Linked DNA regions of Stegostoma tigrinum. The protein of the gene in region 1 interacts with the protein of each later gene in a biochemical or structural test. Links are inferred from orthologs where the notes say so. Each region holds a gene or a part of one and is shown in the gene's direction. Other genes may lie near its edges.

Region 1 (3,753 bases):
TACTAACCTGTTCTTCCTCCCACCTATCCACTCTTCCCACCTCAATCCGCACCCCCATTTCCTAGCTACTCACCTCATCCCGCCCCCTTGATCTGTCCATCCTCCCTGGACTGAACTACCTCCTCCCCACCTACACTCACCTTTACTGGCTCCATCCCCACCTCTTTAACTTGTCTGTCTCCTCTCCACCTATGTTCTCCTCTATCCATCTTTGATCCGCCTCCTCCTCTCTCCCTATTTATTTCAGAAACCTCTTCCCCTCCCCCATTTCTGACGAAGGGTCTCGACCCGAAATATCAGCTTTCCTGCTTCTGAGACGCTGCTTGGCCTGCTGTGTGAATCCAGCTCCACAACTTGTTATCTCAGATTCTCCAGCATCTGCAGTTCCTATTATATCTGATACAGTATTCTGAGGCATCCAGTTCTGGGCAACTTATAAGCAGCCAAACATTTTCAAAGCCCCTTCAGCAGGTTAGAGACTAACCCAGTAGAGAAAAAGCTTGCCAAACTAGAGTGACACACACACAGTCACTTAGTTATGACAGTAAACAGTAAAGAGTTTTACACAGTGCCCTATCCAAGTGGGAGTTTTGTGGTCACATTAATTATTAGAGATTCATTGCTATTAGAATTTCACAAATAAACGTTGCCTAGTAAAGAGTTCATGGAAGCAGTCACATCAATTAAATATTGGACACAGTGATAAAGGGAATGTATCAGCATTCCACAATATGTCGAGTGCTCTGCTGAATTGTTCAACCTTTTAACCAAACCTTGATCAAAGTCCATAGGTGTAGATTGCACCTACAAAAGACAACATTCATAGATTCACTAGCAACTGAACCGACCAGAGTTTGGTAAGCACTTTTTGTGAGCATTATTTTGCCCTGGATTAATTTTTGGATAGAAATACGGCTCGAGTTTAATTGTCAGCAGCAAACATCGCAATATAACTAGTGTCCGCACATTCCCCTGTGTCTGTTTTAATCATTTGACATATTGCTAATCTGTATTTTCAATTTCACTGCTGTTCAAATATTGACTGCAATCATCTGCTATTGAAGTTTAATAGAATAAGCAGGTAAATAACTTTTCATGACAAATTATACTCCTGCTGTGCAACTTAAGTAAAGCAAAAAAGTACAGACACCTTGGAATTCTCAGTGCATACAACTTCCTATTGAAATTACTTTTCTATAATAACGTTTTATAGTCCTGGCTCAATTTTTCAAACTAATATAATGCAACACTATTTATTTAAGTATGATAACTTACTTCTGAAATAGTAGTCTGTAAATGGGGTGATCAATAAATATAAATAGTTTGTTAATTACTTAGGGTATCCCATGTAGAGACATAATATTACTTACAGTCAGACATAGACATAATCTACTGAATGGCCTCCAACTGGACTGTCAGAATTTGTGATTAGGAGATCCACACAGATTTTAACTGAAATCTATTTACGTTAGCTGTGGTCTTGTCCCGGAACCGAAGGCAATATCTAATCGCAGTGGTTTTATACTTTATTTTTGGTTACATCAATAATGCTGTTTAAATTAGAGCTGGCATTAGTACAATAGAGAGGAATGACATATGGTCAGGAAACCAGAATGCAGAAGTAGTTTAGATGGTGATGACATATGACAAAGGGAAGAAGCCATTTATAGGAGTGGTATATAGGCTTTCTAATAGTAAATACACATAAGATGGCAAATATAGGAAGCAATCAGACGGGAATGTCAGAAAGGTTTGGCAAAAATCATGGGGAATTTTAATGTGGTACAAACTGGAAAATTGAATGGGCAAAGATAGGCTCGATGAAGATTTCATAGATATTTTTCAGGATGGTTTCTCAGAGCCGACCAGAGAGCATGCAATACTAGATCTGGTGCTGTGCAATAAGATAGGATTTGAAGTGAAAGTCCCAATAGTTATTGATGACCATAATATGATTGAATTTTACTTTCAGTTGGAGAGAGAGAGAGAGAGAGAGAGAGAGAGAGGAGTGGGTCCAAGACTAGTATTTTAGACAGAAACAAGGGTAATTATGGTGATAAGAAAGTAGGTCTAACTGAAGTGAACAGGCAAGTTAGGTTAAGAGGGAAATCATGTTTAATCAATCTGTTGGAGATCTTTGAGGAAGTAACACATGCTGTGGATAAAGGGGAGCTGGTTGACACAGCAGACTTAGATTTCCACTGCAACTCATAGAGATAGACCTGAAACTGAAGGAAGTCTCTCCCATATCGGGAATTTGCTTATTTTCAAAGGCATTAGTGAAGGCCAAAACACTGGTGTGAAATTGGAATTATTCTTTATTATAGACTAGGAGGAGGGGCCCCCGTTTATAGCAGGTATAGGCTTCCACCAGCAGCAGCTATGCCCACTGGGGTCTCAAAAGCTTGGGAATGCCTTCTGTTCATTTAGAAATCTCTTTAAAACCTACCAGACATTTTCTAATACACTGTATGTGTTTCAGGTGTCAAATATTGGTAGGTAATTACTTCTATGAAGCTCCTTGGGACTATTTACAACCTTAATGATGATGATCAAATGTGAATTGTTGCTCAAGACCTTAAAATGTGCAGGGGCCACTATTCCAGGTGATGCTGGCAGTGATCTTGAGTCTAGCTTTTTCCGGTGAACCCACATTCTCTATGCTGGATGGTAATCTTCATTTGAAAGACTATTCCTCAATGTGGCCTCAGTGTGGACTGGTGTTGTCAATTCTCAAAATTGGCCCTGAGTCTCCAGAACACTGAGTAAAATCACTGGGACTTCTAAAAAAAAGAGGGTGCACTTTCATTCATGCAAATGTGATCCCTCCTATCTGGCTATTATTGGAGACAGGAGCAAGTGAACAGATATTTGACTGAGAGCCAAGCATCAACCTGTCAGATCACACAGAAGTCTGATTGGTTGGTGGAAGCATACTGTATTAGATGAACAACTGGCCAATGACAATACTGTGGTCTGGAACAAAAATGTATTTTTAATCAGCCTATTCTGAGTTACTATCACACACCCCTGAAACAGGTCAGACTTGACGCTAAGCCTCCTGGTCCAGGGTAGGAACACTACCACAGCACCACAGGAGGGTTCCATAACATGGATGCGGTCAGGAAAGTTTAAGATGACATTGGTAAACCCCAATATGGATTGGGAGTGAATTTCAGCTCACTGGGTCTGGCTGTCATTACATCATAAGTGTAAATAGCATGAAACAAAATATATATATTCAATTCACAAGGGGCAAATTAAACTTCTTTCTCCCACCCAGATGTCAGGGTGCAATTTGATTTTCTGAGTGAACAGATTTTCTAATGAAGTTACAATGATCAAGAGGTGGGACAATTTATCCCTCAGTATCCAGTCATGTGTGAGATGTATATGGGCATGATAGCTCTATTAATAGTCACTACTCAAAATGATGACACATGGTTTGGTGTGTATTATAAAACAGTGTGTATACTTATTAAAATTAGCTTATATTTTTTCTGTATTTTTAATATATTAAAACATCCTGTCTTCAAACGAGCAAGTATTAAATGAAATTTGACACAGAGCCACATAAGGAGATACTATGGCAGATGATCAATAAATTGATCCAATTTGTAGATGATAAGGACAAGTGAGATACAGAGGCTGGGAAGTTTAGGGAAGAAATGCCAGAGTTTAGGACACAAGCAGCTTGAAGATAGAACTGCCCAACAGTGGGTGGAATTGGAAGAACACAGAGGTCTGAAAGGA
Region 2 (3,753 bases), on another chromosome or scaffold:
TTCAGGGTTGTGACGAAATGTAAAGGGGAATGGCACTGAACCATAATGCTCACTTTGAGATTCTGTGTCGACATGATGGGTTCAATAGCCTACTTATGCATCACAGCAATTCTGTGATTATTTGTTTTTATTTCTGATTTGCAACACAAACATTTCGCCCCTAAAATCGTGTGCACTACCAGCTTACTAGCAATGTCCATCATTTTCACCCTGTTCACCTTCGTTTCTTTTCCTCTCTCATCCGTTTCTGCCCAGCGGGACGAGCACAACCCCTAAATATTCGCACGCCGTTCCAATGGACGGAAAATGGGTGGGCACGGGAGAATTTATGGCGCAATTGCAGATCTTCGCCGTTGGTACTGAAAGATTACCGCAGAGGGAATAGTGTTGCAAGCTCCGAGCTCACTCGCAAAATTGGGGTTTTATTTGTTTGGGCTGGCGGGGGGAGGGACGTTTTGCAAACGAACGGGCAGGTGCTAAGCAGTGGAAGCAAATTCAACGCCAGGGGCTCCTACCCCGGCAGCACCCGACTCTCGCGCTCTGGGGTAGCCGACACTTCCCCGCGCCGCACCCAGGTGGCGCTGCAGGCAGCGAGAACAGAAAAGGGGGGCGGAGGGAAAGACAGGGCGCGCGCAAAGTGCGGGCGTGCGGTGTTTGGCGGGTGCTGGGTTGGGGTGAGAAGTGGGGAGGAGGCGCGCTCGCTTTGCCTCACGGGAGCGCGCTGCAGGGAGGAGGAGAAGAATGGTGGGGGCGGAGTCTAGGGCTGGTGATTGACAGGAGCCCGGGCTATCGGCAGTAGCTGGAGCAGCGGCGGTGGCGGCCAGACGGTCTGACCGGCTCCTGGTGAGGAGCAAGCAGGAGGAGGAAGAGGAGGAGGAGGACAGCAGCAGCGATCACCCTGCAAACCCAACACCAATCACCCCTGCGTGGCAACCTTTTCAGATTTCTCCCCACCCCACCTTGTGACAGGAGGAGGGTTGGGGGTGTGCAGACAGACAGAGAGAGAGAGCTCCCCTTCCCCATCACTTCGAACCAGCCAAACTTTCCCATTTTTGTACCCCCCCCCCATATCTCCCCATCATCACCTCCACCAGACAAGAATTAGCTCTTTGGATGGAGAGATTGCAAGTTGTTCGCCGCTACAGCAAAAAAAGTTTTTATATTAAAGAAAAACGCGATCAAACTACAACGAGTCTGGAGCAACTTGAGATTTGACAGAAGCAAATCCCCATCATTGCCACACACGGATTAAAGGTGGAGCGGGGGAGTTGGACTGTGTACAACTTTAAAAGCCCTCATATTTCAATAAGTGCCTGGGAAGTTTGAGCAAGTTTGACGTCCGGTCTGAAGCATGTGAAAGGTTTCATTCCGGGAGAGGCGGAGGGCTCAGCCGGGTTCAGGAGGTTGCCGGGATTTGGCTTGACCCTGTCCTCTGGTGCACCGGGGGCTGAGATCCCCGTTATCCTCGCAGTCACCCGCCGTCACCCGCCGCCTCCCCTGGTCTGGGGACTGAAGGGGCTTTCGCCGCCACCTACCACCCAAACACCTCGCCCTCCACCAAGAGCAGAGGCTTTGTGGATGCAGACGGGATCTACCTGGGAGAAAGGGAAGGCTTTTCTTTCCGACCTGCAGTTTGACAATGTGGTGGAAGCCGGTGCCGGAGACCTGCCTTCTGGTGGCTTTTTTACTTCTGAACAGGGCAGCGACGCGAGCACAAGGTAGGGAAGACGGTTCATTCATTTGACAGCATCCGCGGGCTGGGCTGAATTTAGGAGTCCCTTTGAGGCCAGGTCACTGCTTATTGTTTGTTGTTGTCGTGGGACAGAATTTATAGCCGCTGTTTGTTTTGTGTTTGCACGGAGTAGAGAGGAAAGTAACCTGGTGCATTGCTGATATATGTTCAAATATCAAGGTGGACGCGGCAGTTCCAGAGAATCTTACAGCGTCCATGAGTTTTTTTGACAGTTTTCCAGACGTGGTTGTGAGTTTAAGGTGAGGGAGAATAGTAAGAAAACCGACACCTGTGAATAAACAGAGAAATCTGCTTAGTGCAACCGAGTGGATTTATGTCGTGTGTGTGTTTTTTTTTCAAAAAAATGTATGAAGGTGTCATAAAACAATGATCGAAGTTAGGGGTCGAAAACGTTCGGCGGAGTTGGTGCAAACGTCAGTCTCTCATTTAACGAAGTAGAAAGTCGGCAAAAGACTAACTTGGCGGCCAAGGTATTGAAGGATCGCCGAGGCAGGGAGCGGGCAATGCAGCCGAGGAGAGGAAGCCTTCCAGTTAGCGGATCGGAAATCGGGTGCTTAACCCATTGAATTGGTTACAATGCTAAACGAGTGAGGGATATGGAAATGAGCTGGAACAGAAGTCACTCGGTTATAGTTAATTATGTTTCAGTGTGTGTGTTTGGGTGGGGAGAGGGGGCGACAGTTCGTCTCGATTTCTGTATCGATCTTTCACCTCTTTTAAACACAAACGACTGCTATGAAGGTAGATCAGTTCAGTGGTGTTGGGTGAGATTAGTTCAGGCAGAATGTGGCCGATTTTCTCTTGAGCAAATAATGAGCCCTGCTCTACGCGCTTCTTGTACTGTTTCAAATGGAAATGCAGCACGTTTCTTGCGTCTGCTTTCATCTCACTGTTTGAAATATGAACAAGGGGCGAACTCATTCATTCTTGCAGTGATTTGACCACATCCATTGCCAATCTTATCCTGAACCCAGAGACTTCAATGGTTGGTCGGTTCTAAAATTGATGTGATATTTTCTGAAGTGCGAATGCTACCCTTTTAAAGCTGACCATTATAAATTGGAACACTACCGGTGCAGTGAGATTTTCTCGTTTTTTTTCTGACAGCGGATGGCTGAGTTGTAAACAGTTGACTGTCAGGTTTAGGGGGAGAGCCTGTGCTTGGGCGGCTATTGGTGAAATATTGACTCCATCAGTCTGGCCTGCACTTTCATGTCAGGTCATGGTTGCGAATTTGTTTTGTTCGAACACGCCTTAGGTAAAATGGATTGAGAATTAGTATTTCTTTTAAAAAAATACGGAATCCACACGTTCAATTTTGAAAAAAAAGGTCAGTGGTCAGAGAAATCTTTCACGTACTAGATTCGAATTGGTCGAATTTAGGATTCCTTATATTTTAAAGAAACTAGCCATCAGGGTGTTTGGAGAGCCACAGTGCGCCTCAGATCAGAGTCAAGTTTGGACTTGGCTATTATGGTAAAAAGCTAAGATTAAAATCTTCCAGCCCCAGATAGAGGCGACGGTGCAAACTTTTCCGGCGCAACCAGGAAGCTAGTGATGCTTTCCGTCCGGGCGAGTATCAGAACAGCACCGGCTCAAAGACTCCACAATGTGGCAACAATGGTTTTCCAACATGAAATGAACCGATGGCCAAGCGTGTTAGCAGATTGCGTGATGATATCTACAAGGGCAATATTTGCAAGGCACATGTTCCCCATGACAAACATGGGAGGTATCTGTTTGTCGGGGGGTTGCGTTGGCCGCTACCTCCCGCAGACATCTAAAAGACAAGAGTTGAGCGTTAGCAAAATGTGTAAAATTTTAAACGAAACAATGACGGAGGAAGCGAACCAGAGAGAAGGCTGCGCCCCAAACACATCTGAAACTGTGCTAAGGTTGGGCGTTCACCGTGAAGCTGAGGAATACCATTTTAAAGGCCGTTTTAAATCGCTACAGAGCTGGACAGCATGGTCTTGGTCATTGATTTTTAAGGACGGAGC

What was found.
Region 2: the proteins of pdzk1 (region 1) and sdk2b interact in a test that uses a peptide from one of them, tested with the Homo sapiens proteins (2 studies listed by IntAct, with this or other methods). The link is inferred for Stegostoma tigrinum from reciprocal best matches to the Homo sapiens genes PDZK1 and SDK2.

What each region holds. Positions count from the first base shown.
Region 1 is NC_081359.1:15,468,804-15,472,556, forward strand, and holds the start of pdzk1 (Na(+)/H(+) exchange regulatory cofactor NHE-RF3), read left to right. Parts: upstream 1-736; 5' UTR 737-857; intron 858-3,753. UniProt on the Homo sapiens protein: A scaffold protein that connects plasma membrane proteins and regulatory components, regulating their surface expression in epithelial cells apical domains.
Region 2 is NC_081375.1:25,461,195-25,464,947, forward strand, and holds the start of sdk2b (protein sidekick-2), read left to right. Parts: upstream 1-827; 5' UTR 828-1,639; coding exon 1,640-1,718; intron 1,719-3,753.